Linked DNA regions of Solanum lycopersicum. The protein of the gene in region 2 interacts with the protein of the main gene of each other region in a pairwise test. Links are inferred from orthologs where the notes say so. Each region holds a gene or a part of one and is shown on either strand. Other genes may lie near its edges.

Evidence for each region.
Region 1: the proteins of anaphase-promoting complex subunit 2 (region 2) and anaphase-promoting complex subunit 11 interact in binary tests that used the Arabidopsis thaliana proteins (3 or more experiments, as listed by UniProt). The link is inferred for Solanum lycopersicum from reciprocal best matches to the Arabidopsis thaliana genes APC2 and APC11.
Region 3: the proteins of anaphase-promoting complex subunit 2 (region 2) and cell division cycle protein 27 homolog B interact in binary tests that used the Arabidopsis thaliana proteins (3 or more experiments, as listed by UniProt). The link is inferred for Solanum lycopersicum from reciprocal best matches to the Arabidopsis thaliana genes APC2 and HBT.

What each region holds. Positions count from the first base shown.
Region 1 is NC_090800.1:86,979,920-86,986,717, reverse strand, and holds the start of anaphase-promoting complex subunit 11, read right to left. Parts: upstream 3,741-6,798; coding exon 3,694-3,740; intron 3,351-3,693; coding exon 3,345-3,350; intron 2,824-3,344; coding exon 2,705-2,823; intron 1,139-2,704; exon of another isoform or gene 799-1,138; coding exon of another isoform or gene 774-798; intron 567-773; coding exon of another isoform or gene 460-566; intron 9-459; coding exon of another isoform or gene 1-8. Other genes in the region: Pmp3 domain-containing protein, read left to right, coding at 1-8, 460-566, 774-798; agamous-like MADS-box protein AGL80, read left to right, coding at 5,186-5,935. UniProt on the Arabidopsis thaliana protein: Component of the anaphase promoting complex/cyclosome (APC/C), a cell cycle-regulated E3 ubiquitin-protein ligase complex that controls progression through mitosis and the G1 phase of the cell cycle.
Region 2 is NC_090804.1:2,483,068-2,489,764, forward strand, and holds the start of anaphase-promoting complex subunit 2, read left to right. Parts: upstream 1-2,200; 5' UTR 2,201-2,435; coding exon 2,436-2,669; intron 2,670-3,304; coding exon 3,305-3,394; intron 3,395-4,019; coding exon 4,020-4,251; intron 4,252-4,661; coding exon 4,662-4,957; intron 4,958-5,134; coding exon 5,135-5,206; intron 5,207-5,755; coding exon 5,756-5,997; intron 5,998-6,697. UniProt on the Arabidopsis thaliana protein: Component of the anaphase promoting complex/cyclosome (APC/C), a cell cycle-regulated E3 ubiquitin-protein ligase complex that controls progression through mitosis and the G1 phase of the cell cycle.
Region 3 is NC_090802.1:28,489,720-28,495,770, reverse strand, and holds part of cell division cycle protein 27 homolog B, read right to left. Parts: intron 4,146-6,051; coding exon 3,990-4,145; intron 3,373-3,989; coding exon 3,156-3,372; intron 2,196-3,155; coding exon 1,981-2,195; intron 1,888-1,980; coding exon 1,822-1,887; intron 954-1,821; coding exon 834-953; intron 419-833; coding exon 342-418; intron 1-341. UniProt on the Arabidopsis thaliana protein: Component of the anaphase promoting complex/cyclosome (APC/C), a cell cycle-regulated E3 ubiquitin-protein ligase complex that controls progression through mitosis and the G1 phase of the cell cycle.

The DNA.
Region 1 (6,798 bases), on a different chromosome or scaffold from region 2:
GTTGTAAGGTACTACTCCCTTCTCCCGACTTTCTCTTCTTGATTTCATATTACAGTAATTTTTATTTTTATTTTCTGCTTTGGACATTCAGTAACCAAATTCACTAGTTCGATTACTTTAAATGCATAAACCAACTAAATAAAAGGCTTCCTTCCAATTAACTTATAACTACTGCAGGCGAAAACTTGAATATTGCCTGTAAAAACATGGCATCTGCTCTTTTATAGCACCAGCCTTCTAGAGGCTTAGAGAGGTACTACCTTTTCCTCCTCTTTTTTCTCCTTTTTGGGGTTCAAGGGTGGCCACTGGCCAGGGCTAAGGATTTGTGAGTTTACAATGCAAATGACAGTAAAAAAATTACTTTTTCTTCTAAAAAATTGGAATTTTTGTATAAAGATGGTGCAGATTTCACATGGTCTCTTGACTCTCTGAAAATTTTCTTTTCTGTGCTGGAAACAGGTTGAATTCTTCATCTGTATTTTGCTGACTCTCCTTGGGTGGATACCTGGTATTCTTTATGCTTTTTGGGCCCTCCAGTCCTCACCAAATGGTCTTCCTTTCCTATGGTAATTGTTCTTAAATTTCATCCTTTCTACTGCCAAATAGAAAAGGGGTAAAAGATACTTCTGTCATTTTAGTTTAGAGGAGCATTCAACTCAGATCTAACAGCTTGAAGATTCTCTCAATTTGCTTAAAAGATATTCTAGAGTTCAAACAATATACTCTACTATTTATGAAGAGTATCTAATTCATTTTTCTACTTTACTTGACAGGTGGGCGTATAAAGGCCCCATTTAGAGATAATACCCCTTCAAGTTTCATGCTGATAAATATTGGCTCATTGAGAAGCAGTCCAGATACAGAAAGAATAAAGTGTCTATGCTCTTCAAGAAATTGCCTATAGAGAGGAGATTACTTCAAGACAGAACTTCTGCTTGTTCTTGTGTATACAGACTAGTGTCTAGGATTCTTGTTACATATATCACTTCTCTATCCTTCTTTTACTTTATTAAATCTACTGTGAACAACTTGTGTTGGAATGGAAATGCCATATTGTAGTTAATGTTTGGAAGGAAAACTATGGCCAAGAGGTCACAAATTACACTTCGTTGAGTTTTCCGTCTTCTCGTTATTTACCCTATAAGAAGCTCTGTTCCAATACTGTAGCTTTGCCAAATAACTTTAAGGCCAAAAGGTCTCAAGTAAAACCTAGTTGAACATTTGTTTTCTTTTATTAACCCTATAAGTAAGTCCACCATAGTATATCCTTTCCAGTCTCACTGGGTGGTCAAAAGGTCATAACTAAAATCTATTTGGAGAAAAACCAGACGTCTTCACCACTGAACTTACAAAGAAATAAAGTCTAGCCCTGGATCCCCATCTCTTCTCTTCCATAAACTTAGGCCATTAGGATTGGTCGTCTTGCAAGCAGGATTAAAAAAACTAACAGAGGAAGTAGTTTTATACTTTTATTCCATGAATAAGCACAATAATATATTCTTACTTTTTCTTTTTCTTATCCAACTTCATGGAAATTACATATCCAAACAAGGAGAGAATAAGAACTTTTTTGTGGAAACTATTGAGAAGTTGTGATTTTTGAAAACTCCTGCTTTACGGGAACTTATACAAGTCAACACCAGCACTTAAAGACTATCCTTGTCCCGAAACCCAACTTTGATCTCTTCTAACATGCATAATTGTGCATAAAGGTTGTTGTTGGTTGATGTTAATACACTGTGATTATTCAAGCTTCCATCAGAGTAGATAGACATTAGTCTTCATGGGAAGACGCATGATACAAATAGATTCAATACCACAAACTTCTAACCACAAGGGAAAATCAAATGGATACTTACCAATCTATATAAAAAATTGAGCCAGTAATATGAACTAGTCACAGCAAGATATAGTCAAGCCGCTGAAATGCTCTGTAACACAGAGACACATAATATGTTTGGATTTCTTGACAAAGTAAGAGTTAAATTAATAGCATCAAGAAGATGCATAATATGTTAATACTGATTCTGAAAGAATACAACATCCGTGACAAGTGTTTGTAGTATCTTTTAGTTGACAGCTTATGGTGAAAATATTTGATTAATATACTCAGTTAGCTGTTATAACACACCCTATATTGACAATTACCTTCAAAGTATCTTTCTAAACCTATATTTTAGAAGGTTCAGTTATGTTAACCACAAATTCAAAAGAGGGAGAAGTTGTCTTGAGAAAGTCTCTTTTGTAATGGAGGATAATTGGACAGCTCCAGCCTCCAGATGTATCACAAGTTTCAATTGAAAAGTTCTCTACAGCAACTAACAATGTTACTAGGACAAAGTATACTCTTATAACTGTCAGCATGTTAGATGCAGTTTTCATTAACACACCTGCCATCCATTAAGATATTGTACCTTTTATATCATTCTCCAGTCTCACACCAAATCAAACAAATTAAACCAACTATGAAGGACTGCAAATATTGTCAAGCAACAGTTTATAGCTCTCCTTGTGTTCATGAGTAACATCAATGTAGAAACATGTAAACCTTGAAAACTAATGCAGGTGGAATTTTCACGTTTTGTCAAAGAAGTGATGAATGCACAATCACATTTTCTTTTTTCTCTTAGCAAGATTACATGTGATTGATGATCCATATCTTATATGCCTGAGAAAACTATTAGGGAGAGATAAACAGGCTTACTTAGTGGACAATCATCACCAGGGAGTTTGCAATCAGGACAGCAACCATCAAAAGCCATCCGACATATACCACAAGTTTCATCCTGAGCATCCCATGTCCATGAAGAAACCGCATGCCATCTGCAATGCACGAGGAAGTAACAAAAGTAAGATGAAGTAACCATGCCATGTAGTCTTAAGTCCGACAACAATAAAAATACCAAATGCAATCAAGAGGACATACTCTATTCACAATCCCAGCAAAACACCCAATAGATCAAGTTAAGGGAAACTTCATGATATACTGATACAGCCAATTCTCAAGGAAACATGCCAACATATCCTTCAGTCAAAGAAACTAACAAACTTGCAACATTAGGCTTACCCTCCATTTACTTAAGAAAGTCAGAATATGCACTTCTGTACCTTAGTGAAACAATCGATGAAACACAAACTAAAGTTGATTTGGGGGAGTTTAATGGCTCTACATTCTCCAACAAAATTCAGAAATCAATGATATTAAAATCCTAAGATCACAAGATGAGCCATATCCAATCACTAATTACATATTTAGACAGAAAATAATCTTTCATATCAGAAATGATTTAGTAACAGTTGCTATAATTCACTGCACTAATTAACTGCTCAACCAACATACATACCGTATCCTTCATTTAAACATTTCAAATCAGTGACATAATTAACAAAAGGATACGCAAAATCTTGACTTTCATTGGCTTTTTCTCTGCAATGTCAACACCACAAAAACGGAAATTCTTAAATTATATGAGAAATGATAATTAAAAACACTCTTCACACAAAAAAAATAAAAATGAATACTACGATAACAGAGAAATTAACCTTTTTCCACGACAAAATTGGTGCGTTGATCTACTGTTTCAGAAAGATTTTGAAATTTTGAACTGACATTTCTTCGTCTAGGGTTTTAAACCAACTCTGAAAATGGCGGAAAAACTAGTGAAAAAATATGGTACGATCCAAAGTCCAAACCAGCGGGCAACAGGCTTAGGCTTAAGGCCCAGACTGAACCAGCCCATATCGTTATCACGGGCCGTTAATGATTTTGGGCTTGTTTGATTCGAGAACAAGTTATGCTAAGATTATTTGAAATATAATAGCAACAGTCAATTCGCTACCTTTATTTTACGAGGTTTATTTCAGGCAATTGAACTTGTTCAAAATTAGTGTTTGAAACCTCATATAGTTTTGTCCTATTGTATGTGTATCGCCATTTTAAGTTGTTTTTGTTAAATTGATTGTAACTACCCCTAATTACCACATAAAATGGTATTTGATTAGATAGTATTATTTATCTTACTAATTTGACTATTGTAATTCATATCATTGATAAAAGAAAAAATTAAACTAACAGTTGCAAAGAGAGAAATACATCATATTACTACATATAATGAAATTTGATTAGAAACATAATTTATTCTACTAATTTGACTATTGTAATACAAAGCATTGATAAAAGAAAATATTTAAGTAACAGTTGCATAGAGAGAAATACATATGACAAGTGAAAATGTAAATAGTTTAATGAATATAATTTTAAAAAAGTGAAAGTTATATATAAATTGGAGGGGATATTATTTAAATTTCATCACACTGTATATATCTTTTGTTAGTCTATAGTCTATACATTTGATTATAACTTACTATTTGTCTATAAAAATTATGACCTCGAATAAGAAAAGAAATTAGTGTTTGGAATTTATGATTTATCTATTATTTCCAAATTCACTTTTGTCCATGTATGATGTACCGAATGACTACATGAGATCTCGTAGGATGACCGTTACAATTTGATTTTAAAGCTTACCATAGTAACCTTTTATAAAACTCATTCATTTAAATGTTTACATGCATCATATGGTCCGTAAGAATTAAGATATGTGAAAATTGAACATATCACACTATATTTTTATTAAATAGAATTTAAGTCTACGAAAAAGTCGTGACAAATTTCAACTAATGATTTTTTCTTATGAAATAAATAACAACTAAATTATAAGAGGTGATTTTAGATACAACTTTTAAACTACAATTCCATTGAAAAATGTTATTAACAATCTTATTTTATTCATCTTTTATGTTTCTATATCAGATAGGGTTGCAGGAAAATTAGTAATTATTATTATTTTTCTAAAAAAAAATTAATAAACACGTCTATAACAATATATCATGTAAATTTTTAATTGAGATATTATAACTGGACCCCTGGTCAGGTGGAACCAAAAAATTGTATTGACAATCAAAATTGAAAATATTTGGGCACTAAATTTTTTTCCAAATATGTTTGATCATCAATTCATCTTCCAGATATGCAAATAAATACAAAATCTTCCATATTAATTAGTGAAACATCTTCATATTTGTATATAACATGCCCATTCCAAGAAACTAAAGAACACAGAACTGTACATCTACCCTATTTTTTCATCTTGTTTGCATATTTGTTGCTTTGCATCCCAAAAAAATGACAAGAAAGAAAGTGAAATTAGCCTTCATCACTAATGACTCGGCAAGAAAAGCAACATTCAAGAAAAGGAAGAAGGGTCTGATGAAGAAGGTGAGTGAATTGAGCACCCTTTGTGGGATTGATGCTTGTGCTATTATTTATAGCCCTTATGACACTTCACCAGAAGTATGGCCAAACACCATGGGAGCTCAACGCGTGCTCGCCGAGTTTAAAAGGATGCCTGAGATGGAACAGAGCAAGAAAATGGTGAATCAAGAGAGTTTCATAAGGCAGAGGATAGCTAAAGCGAGCGAGCAATTGAAGAAACAGAGCAAGGAAAACAGAGAAAAGGAAATGACCGAAGTTATGTATCAAGGGTTGACTGGAAAAGGGCTTCAGAATTTGAATTTGGGAGATTTGAATGACCTTGGATGGGTAATTGATCAGAATTTGAAAGAGGTTTATAAGAGGATTGAGGCAGTTAAAAAGGGGGCTTCGACTTCCTCTTCTTCTTCTGTTGCTGCTGCTGCAGTTGCTGCGGCAGCAGTAGCATCGCAGGCAGTTGCTCCACCGATGGAGCAAAAGCCTGCTGTGGTGGAATTGGGATTGGATTCGATGCAGAGGACACAAACAGAGTGGTTTACTGATTGGATGAACAGCAACGCAAGTGATCAGCATATTGGTTATGGACATGCAGATGAGATGATTTTGCCCAATTTTAATGATAATCATAATGCTAATGTGTGGCCTAATAATTTCTATCCTTAATTTTATTTTCTGCTTCCTATTTCTTTTCTGGATTTTTACCTATGTCATTTTTAATTTGTTTATTTTCTCAATCTCCCACGGTGGATATGAATTATTACATGGTTTTTTCTTAATTTATGGTGGGTCAATTTCTTTTCTTCTTTTTGGTTTTTTCTGGTGTTTCGTATAGATTTTTATTTACCATATAAATAAATAAAAGTGTGTTTTGACAGTTTAATATATTCGCGTTATGTTATTCTTATATGTGTAAATTAAATTAATATTCTCGACTGGGTTATACTACTATTAACAACCTCACGAGTAAATTGCCTAGTGATTCGAATCTTCCACGTTTTAATGCATAATACACTTTTATACAATTATTATAAAGATATGTAAACACAAATTCTTGTTCAAAGATAAACATGTAGTGCACAGCGGTAATCTCAATCTGTTCCGAGTAACATATAGAAAGTCACAAAGAAGTAGGAAATTACAAGATTTCGATCTCTCAAAAAATAAAAAAATATAATAAGGACATCATAAATTATTAACGTAAAATAAAATTTATTCCAAACCCATTATTTTCTTCTGTGTCCTTAAAAAATTAGAAGAAGATAATATTACACACAATGATAATTTTGTAAATTTAAGAAAACAACTGATCAAAAAAAAGAAATACTTTGTTAATCAAACAGTGTTATATTATGTCATTACTATCCACTCTTTACAAAATATCATTAGTCCATGTCCAACACATTCCTCTTATTTAAGTAGTGCAAGTGAGATGGTCAAATGAATGTCATTTAGTAATTAGAACCTTATTCTGGCTAGAGTGAGCTATTTGTCACTCAGAAAAGAAAAAGAAAAAAAACACTAATATT
Region 2 (6,697 bases):
TACCTGCTTCGAATAGGTAATACCGGAAATGCTTATGGTGCTTCAAGCATGTTGAGCAGATAGCTTTCTTAAGATGGTCTACTTAATAGATAATATGAAGTATAAGTATTTCAACAACCATCCTGTTGGCTTATAATGATTGAGAATATGATGGCACTTTGGAATGCCTATGTCCCAAGGCTGATTACTGTATTTCTCTGTATCATCTCCGTCTTTACACTTTTTTTATTTTTTAAAAAAGTTATTTGCTAGGTGGAATGGAATGCCTTTCTTGTATTTTTCTTTTCGAAGCATTTTTGAGGTTAAGCAGCAAACTAAGGATATTTATTATTCCCAAACAAGTAGAGATGCATCATTGTTGTTTATACCATTTTCAGTGGTTGTCTAGGATATTCTTTTCCAAAGTTCTGTAAATATTTCCAGGTTCGTATTAATACAATCTTGTTTGAATGTTTTATTTTTCATGTTGATTTATATGATAACTTCGTTGTAAAAAGGTACCTTTTCCGATCAGGTAATTCTAAAGCATAGTTTCTTGCAGCTTTAACACATCCAAGACTCAAGATTGTAGAGCATAGGTATAATTCATAGCAGATGGGATGATTTCCACTTACTCTATCAGCTGTTTGTGTCGCGCTGTTCAAAGATCGGCAAGTACCTACCATATTTAATGCCTCATGACCTCTTGATTTGGTTGGTGCTGTTAAAGTGTCAATATGCATAAGTTGTCCGGATTGGATACAAAGGTGAGTGCAATAGCAGATACTGAGTTATTGTTCTAAAGATTGTAAAGGATGAGCAGCCAGGTTTTTTGACTCACCAAGAAACATATAAAGCTTCTATACTCTGTTCACCCCGGAACAAGAACAGATGAACCATCTTCTCAAACCGGATCAGCTAGACTAGTTGTTGTTGTCGAGGACGGTTGTCCATGAAGGGAGTTGTTTTCTATGTCTGAAGCTAACTGTTTCACATTCTGAAGTATAGAAATTAATAGGATAGGATCAAAATATTTTCATTTTGAGTACTTCCATTCTTTTTTATGGAACAGTAATATTAGTAACATTCCTGTTGTATCCTTGTGCTTTGATGGTCTCCTTTTTCATGTTTGAACATGGCTTTTGTTTATGCAGTGCATTCAGAAATTACAAACTTTTCCACCAAATGTCTTCCTTGAATTGTTACCTTCTTCGTTAACGTTTGATTATAGATTTTATTTTCAAATATCTATTTGGTCATAAAATTTGATCCGATTTGATATTTGATCTTTAAATATTTTCAATTTGTTGGTTTTTGTGATCATGTTAAATTGATAATCAAACCAATAAGATGTTTATTATCGACTTTTGGTTAATCAATCTTTGGTTCTTAACAATTTGGTTTTCAAGAATAGAAATGCCAAACAAATCTCCACACTTACCATATTTGTTTAAGACATAATTGTTTGAAATCTTTTTTAGTGTTTATGCAATAAATTGTGGAAACAACATAACTGTTCATTTTTGTCACAATTAAATCTAAAATTGAGAGCGAAAACTATATTAATTGTCAATTTTTGTCACAACTAAATTTGTAATTGTGAAGAGAATAATACAAAGCGAACAATTACAATAAACAAACACACCTTCAAACAAACAAACACAACTTTATGAGTCGTAACTAGACAATCTATATGATAGTTAAGCCACAAACTAAACTGTTTATTTTGTTTTCACTCGGTGTCTGATATATACTCATATGAGCGCGACTAAATCTAAATTTGCGCCGGAAAATCTCATATTAACACTAAATCGCTCCCTAACATAGCCCCTCCTCTCCAATCCTCAATCAAATTTGCATTCCCATGCTACCCTAACAAAGTCCCTCCTCTCCGATCCTTGATTAAATTTGCGTTTTTATGTTAAATTTAGTTTCGCGTCGAATGTCTCTCGTTGATGCTAAGCCTCTCCTCTCCATGTCCCGATCAAATTTGCATTCCCTAGGCGATGTGGAATGGGGCTCTTCAATCCTCGATCATTTTGTATTTTCCGAGGCGCTATAAAATGAAGGCTAAAACACTTTCTAACAAAGACGATTCCGTACCTAGCCACAGACTATATTTGTTTTGAAGTTCTTCTCAAAAAGTTATTGGAATGTTGTGACTATTAGAATTCGGGTCGGGTCGGGTATGAACATGGGCTTAGTCACAGTGCAGTCAAACATGAAAATGGCGGCAAATGCAGGAGCTGGATTCTTCTTCACACCATTGAAGCAGCAGAGCACAATTTACTTGAACCCAAAGCCTCACTTTTTCCTCTCTCTCTAAGTCTCCTTTTGTCGGGTCTAACTCAATTACAAATCTTTATATGCATGATTTTTAATCAATTAGGGTTTTTTCTCCGCCGGAAAAGTAGATTTCTAAATCATCAGTAGCAAACTTTGTAAGAGCTTCACAAATGACGTGCGATACGTCTTCATCGGGATGCGGTTTGGAGAAATTGGAGTCGTTGAGTGATGATTCCATAACAGTGATATCGGAAAACTGGAATGGCTTTTGCTCTTCTTCAGAAGCTCTTCTCAAAGGCAGTGGTGATTTGTCATTCAGCGATGAGTTTGTAATGCGAGCGAAGAATCTCTGCAAACATGGCCTTTCATCTCTAGTTGAACAACACTTCCTTCGTTGCATTGAGGTCTGCTCAATATTTTTACATCATAGTGTTATTTTGTTTTCAATAAAATGTTCATCTACCGAAAGCAGATTAATATACTAAAACGTCATAGCTACTCAATTTCGCTAAATACAAGTAAAGATTGTTCCTTTTTGGAGGAAAATTGTGACCTGGATCATTGTTTCCTGCATTTGGTTGAGTATAATAGTAGGTGATATATGGTAATTATTCAAGGTATAATATTGGATATAAGTAGAAAAATGGAAAATGAGTTTCGCGCTTAAGTAACTGAATTAGTTTTCTTCTCTTATCATAAATTTTTGATTTTGGAGAAGACAATTTTAACTATTCAAGGGATTTAAATTGGAAATGTGTTGTCACAGTGAATATTTTGGTTGATGAAATCATCTCAATGTTTGAATACCTTGAATTTGAAAATGTTTTCCTCCAAGGTCAATATTCGAAATATTTGCCAATGATTTCATCAACAAAAATATTATATGTGAAAACATTTTCAGCCACACCATGCATACTGATTCATCATTTCCTAAATTTGTGATTTAACCTAGTTTTACATATTTTAAAGCCGGTATGGCCATTATGACTCTACTAGGTGTTCTTTTTGAACTCACGGTGACAGTGTTGTGTTCAAACAGGAAATTTTTGAGAGAAATGGAGCAAAAAGGTTCTGGAGTTATTTTGAACCTTACAGAAATGCTGCACCATCTGAAACTAATAAGGATCTTGTACGTACATAGAATCCTTTGTCATGTCATTCTACATTAAAGAGAAGACCTATTCTACGGAATTAGAAAAAATAGATTACTACTTGATTTTCACTGGGAACTTTCTGTGTCTGTGCAGATGCAGGATTATTGTTAATGAGAATTCTCTATATTTGTTGTAATTTTTTTTGGATTTTTGTACCTTCGTGTAAAGTTCTACACTTCTGTTCCAATCCAGTCTTACTTTGATAGAGTATCTGTACATTACATGACCTAACAACCCATTTACATCTTTTTAAGTAAGTGATTAAACTTTTTAATGGATTTAGTTATTATATTTTATGATTACCATAGTTTCTTGGTCTTTACTTCTTTCTTTCATTGCTACAAATTTATTGAACACTGTCGCAATTGGCTTATATTTTGAATCTTAGCTTCCTTACACGGCAACTACATTTATTATTTTTGGGAAGTAATTTATATGGAAAAATGTTTGTCAATATTATCTTGTCTAGCTAGTGAATATGGATGGTTATGTACTTGTTATTGCTGCTGATTCCATTTGCCGTATTTATCTTTCTCAAGCGATGACTTGGTTTTAGGGCTTGGAAATTTTATAAGTAAATCCTGATTGGTATTGATGCAGATTCTAGAAGAAGAAATTCAGCAAATAATATGTAAAGCTTTGGAAGAAATATCATCTCAAAAGCAGTTCCAGGAGAAGTGCCTATTATTGTTGGCTCGTGCTTTACAGTCCTATGAAGAAGACAAATTGCAAGGACAAGCGAACCCAGATTCTACTCGAGTTTATCTCCTCTCGAAATATCAACTAATTGTGTCTTCAGTTCTATTGGCTAGCCTTCCTCACCATTTTCCTGGTATGTGGATTACTTCCTCACTACATGATTGATCCTAGATTGTTTGTTTTTGTCCTATTTGAAGTTACAGTCCTAAGATAGTTTGTTCTTGGACCAATCATGTAGCCAATCACTCAAATGTTAAATACCATTGCCTGGGGTTGTTACTACAACATAGGAATTATACTTCTTTAGTCACTGGTTTACGGCTTTGGTTTCTGAATTTATAAGTTAGGTTATACGTCTTTACAATACACACATATAAAATGGCAAGGAAGAGGTTTGAAATTCTTATACATTTACATTGTCGTCAATTTTTCAGAATAGACAGAGTGGTAAGGGGAGCTTGATATCAAAAGATGCTTCTATGGCTATGTCCTATAAAGTTTAAATTTTTAAATTCTTGATTATCCTTCCCCTTACTATTTTAGGGATACTTCACTGGTACTTCAAAGGAAGACTGGAGGAGCTGAGTACAATTGCAGCTGCGAACTCTGAGGATGAAGAGGAGTTAGGCATGGATGATAAAATGGATTTAGACGAGAAAAGCAAACTTCCCTACAAATGTGGTGACATGGATAGTGATATAAGCCATAAATATGCTGTATTTTCAGAGAACAATAAGTTGGTGAAGAACATCGGAATGGTTGTTCGTAATCTGAGAAATATTGGTTTTACATCTATGGCGGAAGATGCATATGCTTCTGCTATATTTTTTCTTTTAAAGGTACATGGCGTACAATGATAAAGTTTCAGTTGATTTATCTACATTTTCAGTTGACATCAATCAAATTGTGGTGTTTCTGATTTTTGTTAATTTGACAAAATGAAATCGTTTCAAACTATATAAATTAAACATTCACTTAATCTTGATCACGATTATTCTTTTGAATGTGGGTGATAGGACAAAGTACATGATTTGGCTGGTGATGACTATAGGAGCTCTGTTTTGGAGTCCATTAAAGCATGGATACAGGTTAGTCTCATCTGCATGATCCCAATCTCATGTCTCAAAATACAGTGACAAAGGCCCTTTCAAAGTTCTATTTTGGAGTAGCAATGCAAGGTCTTTTGAAATTTATCTTCTTCAGCACTAATAGAAGAGATAGTGGTGGTCATTTGATTCATTTGGGATATTAAGTGACTGGCATCCTGAAATAAGAAATATTTTTTCCTTGCCTAGTGCACTAGTTTGGATTCCATTGATATCCTGCAATATGACAAGTCAGACATTTTTGAGTCAGATGTATCTAATGGTTTTATTATGTGTTTAACCAATTTATTGATAGTGATACTTTCACTCATGTGATTTGTGTGTCGATAGCTTGGGAGGCATTGTATAGATGACAAAACAAATGACAGAATAACTTTGTGAAAGGTTGACTATATTATCTTGAATATCAATTCTACATGAAGTTTTGTTCAAACTTGAAGAACATGGATAAGCTTATGTTTAGACCAATCTGACTTGTCAGGAAATTTCTGTTGGATCCAATTTACTAACATTGAGAACCAATTTGTGCAGGCTGTGCCCCTTCAGTTCTTACGAGCACTTCTTGATTACCTTGGAGATTTTACTAACTGCAATGACCCTTCCCCTGGCCTGAAATCTCCCCTGGCATCCCACCCCTCGTGCTATTCTGGAACTGGAATTCCATCTGAGGGGCTTGTTAGATGGCAGTTGCGCTTAGAGTATTATGCTTATGAAACCTTGCAGGATCTCAGAATAGCCAAACTTTTTGAAATCATTGTGGACTATCCGGACAGGTAATTTACTATTCCATTTTCTTCTCCTCATTTCTTCTCTGTTTGTGGGGGGTTCAGTCTCAGCGCATGGGTGTATATTGTAGCAGATTTATAAGCAAGAAAACTCATATATATTTGGAAGGAAAGAAATGAAAAGAAAGAATGAAGACTTTGTAAAAGAGAAGAGGAGTAAATTCGGTGGTTGGTTGAGAAGGGAAGAGATATCATTTGACTTTGATACCCTTAACAAAGTATTTCTCTTGTTAATACATTTAGCATCTTTTTTGGCATTAGAAAGGGTTTCCCCTCTGTTTCCGCCCACTTATGGATGGAATTGAAATTTTAGAACTTTCTGCATACCTTTATCGCTTCCCTTTTCTCCCAAAATTCAATCTCAGAAGCTAAGAACTAAACTCACCCATGTTCTCATCTCATTTCTCTCCTTTCCCTTCCATTCAAACTGCAACACTTCTTACTTAGTTAATTAGGTCACTAATTTTTTAAGTGGATATAACATGCATAGAGGATGTAATGGTATTCACAACTCCTGATCTTTACTTTTACCCATGTTTCTTCCAGTCTTACCTGTAACTAATTTACTATGCTGGGATCCATTTTGTTTCATTGTAGAAATAAAACTTGATGCAACATTCTCCTAGTTTTATCTGTACTAATTAGGCATTTTAGTATCAATTCAGTTGGAAATGAAGGGAATGAAGCT
Region 3 (6,051 bases), on a different chromosome or scaffold from region 2:
TTCTCGAATATTTATCTACACATTGAGTGCAAACACAGAAGTCAGAATTTTCAGACAGAAGATGTAAGTCCAATTGTTAAATCAACATAATGCGTCTAGCAGGTTAAGAATAATCAGAAACATAAGGAGTCACATTGTTAACAACTTGATCAAGGGTCAAAAACAGCAAACATGGCGAAGGAATGATCAATGATACTCAGCCATTCATGAGTAAATAAATTAATACTTGATAAGATGTTACAAATAAGCCCAAATATCCACACATATCTGGACAAAAGAAATAAACAGCTCCAGAAATATCTATATCAGACAATATTATCTTCGGATTTTGCAGGAATTACCAAGATTGAGGAACTAATCTATCAGTTGATACCAGCTCCTGCGCCAGATAACTCAACTTCATGTCCTCCTTGAGATGCTAAAATTAAAATCAAATAGTTTGTCAGGAAAAGACAGAGAGGACATAAAGATTGGGACCCTTTTGGAACATAAGAACTATTAGGATAACCATATATAACCAGTTTCCTAACTACCAAAGGTTAAGAAAAATATGCTTTCAAGAAATAATTTTAATTAGTGAACAATAACCGGATGCAACAAAAATACCGGAACAAAAAAAAATATTGTTATTAAATAATAGTAATAATGATCATAGAATGTAAGCAAATAATAGTAATGTCGACGTAACAGGGATCAAATAAAGTTTCATCAAACCCGTCCGGCATCACCACCCCACCACCCTAAGAGATGGTAAAATTAAAGGCAATTAATATTTCCTCACAGCAAAGCATACATGTTCTGATTGAACCACTTAAAGAGCAAAGAAGACTCACAAACAACACTGTCGAGTACAAGTCCATTCCTTCTAAACTATAAGGTGAGGCCAGACGAGCAAGGCCAAATGCATGATCTGCTTCTTGGTAATCAACCATTTCGAAGTATGCCCTTCCAATCTGGCATTCAAATATGCACATCAGATGCCACATGTAGACAGATAAATCTGGCATTCTAATTTGGTCATGACATGCCACAATAGACAAATACCAAGAGAACCTTTTTATATTTGATAAGCAACAGATACCAAGAAAACTAAAGAGCAAGTTAGGCCAAGAGATACCAAGAGAACTCAAGAGCCGGTTAAGTCAAGGGATATGTAAAAAGAAAGAAGCCCATGCCCCACCACAAGTAGAAAGGGCTAAAGACCGTCAAACATAGTACAAAATGGTCCTAAAAATTATACTAGCAAAAGTAGATATTCTCCGGACCATGCAATGCAGTGCCTTGAATCATGATCAATACTCTAGACTGTCCAAATGAAAGTTCATTGTCCTATTCAGAGGACTTACTTCAGCACCTAACACGGCAGAATCAAGATCCTAGAAGACCACTCTTAGAAAATAGTGCTCTCTGACATTCAATGAATATAAAGAAGACATGCATATCTATTCCAGGCCACTTAATATTCTTGTAGTGCACTCGAACAAAGCTATCTAATCGATATTTCTAGTACGTATCCATAACTATGTAACTAGTCTAAACATGGAACTTATACATCATGAAGATCAAGTTAGAAATTAACCCCAAAAAAGAAATGAGCATGTCCCGCTAAGTTTTTAGGAACCTACATACTGGAAGCAATTTCAATTAGAGACGAGCAAATAAACAGTAAAGGACAAGAATGAATATCTCCTTTGATTCCCTAAACAAGCATAAAGAGAAAACTTAAAATTAACAGGACTTTGAACGGAGGAAATATAAAAATACATACATTGCCTCCAAAAGGATTGGAGAAAAAGTGATCAAGAAAGACAGAACCTTTACCTGAGAAAGAACCCATCCAGTGTGATAATGTTTGTGTGGTAGTTTGTTATAAACATCCAGTGCATCCTGTTCCACCGTAAAGCATCATATTTCAACCAAATCAATGTAGAGCATCAAATAAATGCTGAAATTTATCCATTCAGAATCAAAATGTAATACCTGACATCTATATAAACAAGAAAGTCTATAGCCTTCCCCAAGAATCCTGAAAAGGGACAATATATCTGAAGCACCTGAGAGGATAGATGTGCTGCTTACATTAACCCCAGAAGCAGAAGTTCCGGGCCCTTCTTGTTCAAGAGGTCTAGCATCACCAGAAGGGTGTGACAGAGTCATATTTAGCCGAGAATCATCAGAAATGTCATTGCGAGTCCCTGAGATGCAGACCTAACACAGTTACGAATAAAAACACATCTCAAAGGTAGATGTTTTTCTTAGGTAGCAACAGTGCACAAACACAAGAAATTCCATATGAACATAGCTGTTGGTGTTCAGCTTTCTTCATTTTTCCATTGGTTGATAGCAGTAATTTCAGATGAAAAAAACAATTTATCTGTACTCTTGAATTCTTTCAAATGATTAATGCATTAATCAATTGTGATCCCACACATCCAAATAGTAGTTAACCAGAACTCGGGAACTACAGAAGTAAAGTTTCAACTTTGACGAATAATAAAAGAGGTAAGAAAAAAGTCAAAAAAATAGAGGGAGAAAAACTCCTTCCTAAAGTTTGTGACGGAACCACTAAATAAGAAAAGTGTGCACAAGTCTATTCGAATTTAGGGGATCATGAAAGTGACTCCAATATAACAAGAACAAAATTTTGTTAGATTTCAGAAATAACACATATAACACAAAAGCAATCCATTTGGAGGACAGGCGGAGTTTCGTGCCTCCCTTATGTTTAGTAAAAATATCTTCAGATGATATGTCCTTATTAGATGATAGAAAGTTTCCAGAGAAAATCACACCCGACTTCTTTTTCTGTAGCAGACTAATATACAAATTTAGCTCCATGCAGGCCTGGATGTCAGCATATCACCACCCAACTGCTGTTCAAGTGTACTATGACTTCTGCATAGGGGGGGGGGGGGGGGGGAGGAAGAAAAAAGTTGCCTGACACTCCGTTTTGTTTCACGCATTAATGTTGACTGGGTACAGTCAAAAGTCAACACTTCTTTGTAATTATACTTCATTTCAAGCAATTGTGTGACCAAACCTTAGGATTCACATAAAATTTTTATGATTAGTCTATTCTAAAAAGGTGACAACGCTTAGGTTAAAAATACAATGAACAACAGAATTATCAAGAGAAAAGACAAAATATCAATCACCTTCACCATAATTTTCGGCAGCCCAAGATTGTGTCTTTCGACTTGTCATGGAACGTAAAGTCATTGAGCTCAGCTTCGAACTACCATAATATTTGGAAGAATGAATGGTTCCATTTCCAGAAGCTGCAGATACATTTGAATTTGTGTTTCCAGTAGATTCTCCCGAAAGCCTTGAATTTCGTCGAGGGCCAGAATCAGAAAATAACCTCCCAGATATCTGGAAAGATAAGAGATAGTGGACTCAGACCCAAAAAAGGGGTAATGGAGACAACGAAAATCCACCATATAAAGCACCAGAAATGTATAGGGAAGTTTAGAGATTGAAAGTTAAAACTGAACAAATGCACAAAATAAAGGAGATGAACAAAATCAATACCATAGTTCAACAAGCTAAAAGTTTGTAAAAACATTCTCGTTTTTTAACTAAAAGAGGTCAAATAAGACAAAATAAGAGCCTAGCCTCTAACAACTGGCTTCTACAGGTGAAAATTGGTAAGGACAGCAGGCTTGCACCAAAAGCTTCACACTAAAAGCTCACTTCCAAATTTCAACAAAAGAGAAAACTAACACTTAAATTGTTATGATATCATTTTGTGAAGCTTTTTTTATCACGAAAAACTTAGAATAAAAGCTGTTTCACTTTGTTTTAGAATCATATAAAGGCATCCTGATTGATAGACATACTTAAAATGGAATATGAGGAAGTACGACATTACTTCAGTGGGAAGTTTCTATAAAAAACCTAACAATCCTGCAGCGATTATACAGAGAAAGAAGAACTTAATATTATAATAAATTAGATGACTGAAACCTATGTATTATAGTACTGCATACCTTTCTTAACTTCCCTTCATCAACAAACTTTCTCCGAGGGGCCTGAATGGTTGAATTGACAGTTGATCGTGGAGAGTTATCAGCACCAGCCACAGATGCATTAGTACCATTTTGCTGAAAATTTCTACAAACTGGAGGTGGAACCACTCCTGACAACTGCAAAGAAATTGTATTTTACAAACTTTCGAAAAATCAAAAAGAAATTCTAGTGTTGCCAAAGTGCATATAAGAATGTCAGTTGATTCTTTAATATAGAAGATTGTCACCTTTACATATTGTTTAGCCAAGCTTTTGGAAGGGCCAAAAGTGCTTCTTCTTGTTTTTAAAAAAGTGTGTATGTTTAAAAAAGTGAGTTGTTTAACCAAGCTATGAGGAGAAAATAAGTGTTTCAGGGAGTAGCAGAAGTTTAAAAAGATAGCTTTTCTCCCAAAGTGCTGTATTGAAAAGCACTTTTGAGAAAATACACTTAGAAGAACTTGTTAAAAACATGGTCAAACACAAACTGCTTCTCACAAAGCAAAGTCACAAACTGGTTGTCACCAAAAGTACTTTTTAGAAAAGCACTTCTCAAAATAAACTCATTTTAGAAGCTAGGCCAAAAAGGCTATTAATTTCACTTCAATTAACAAGAACATAGCTCTGTGAAACTATACAGATATCATTAGAAAGTTACCAACTATGTTTTAAACCGGAGAAGACATTTTAGACTCCATCGGATTGACAATAAATTAGATATTTTCTGTCCTCTTCAAAACTTGCAATCTGCTTTAAATTAGAGTCAAATTCTCTGATTGCTACCCTCTTCCTCAATCTAAGAAACTATGATCTAACTAACAAATACATTGTCACCATTTATTTTAGAATGGTAAGGGTGTATTGCTTGGTACAAAGGACAATCTAGAGAAGCATGTCTCATTCAGGATAATCTGCAGAGAAGGGGATACCAGTTATGTAGCAAATGGTATATGTGTAATAACAACAGAGATAATCAATCATATATTCTTGCATTGTCCAATAGCAACACAAATATGGTAGATGTTTTACAATATTTGGACATGAACTGAGTAATGCCAAGATCAACCTCAGACTTATTGGGCCTTTGAAAACTAAATGGAATACAATTACAGCATGTTTTGGTGGTGCATATGGAAGGCAAGGAATAGAAGAGTTTTTGCTGGTCAAGCTAACAATACTCTAAAGATCAAATCTGACTGTAATATTTTGTTCTAGTAGGATTAGGATGGATTTGGTAAATGATGTAGAAACCTTATGACAGCGCATAGATAGCTTGCAATAGAAGATTACGGACTTCTCTTGGTTTTTGAACTTTTGGTGGTGTACTTGGGTACAACCTTTGTGCTACATCGGTAATACAACTGTGAAATTAGGTCTTATGCCTAACTCACACCCCCAAAAGCTAGCTCAGAGGGAGGAGGATTGTCCAAGCCTTATAAGGAGTCCCAATCATCTCATTAACCACTGATGTGGACTTTTGTCATTCTTTGACATCCCACCTCACGCCCAGTGCTTAGCATCTTGTGCCTGGACAATTTGGATTTTTGGGAACCCCAACATCGGGTGAGACGGCCCCTGCTCTGATACCATGTGAAATTAGCCTAACTCACACCCCAAAAATTAGCTCACAGGGAGGAGGATTGTCCAAGCCTTATAAGGAGTCTACTCATCTCATTAACCATTGATGTGGGACTTTTGTCATTCTTTAACACTAACCTTTTAAAAAGGAGCACTAACACACACACACACACACACACACACACACACACACACACACACATATATATATATATATATATATATAAATTGTCTATCTAATTCTACATCATTAGAGTTCAAGGGGAAAAAGTTATGTAATCTTTAAAGAATAATAAAAATTAAGCATCTTCACTGCAATGCATACAGTGATAGCAAGTAACAACCAATGACCCTTTTTAAGTTAGCACCAGAAGAAAAGAGTTCCTATTTCCCATATCGAAAAGACACAAAAGATAAAATGTCATTGAACAGACAAACTAACAACTATGGATGTAAGCCTGATAACCGC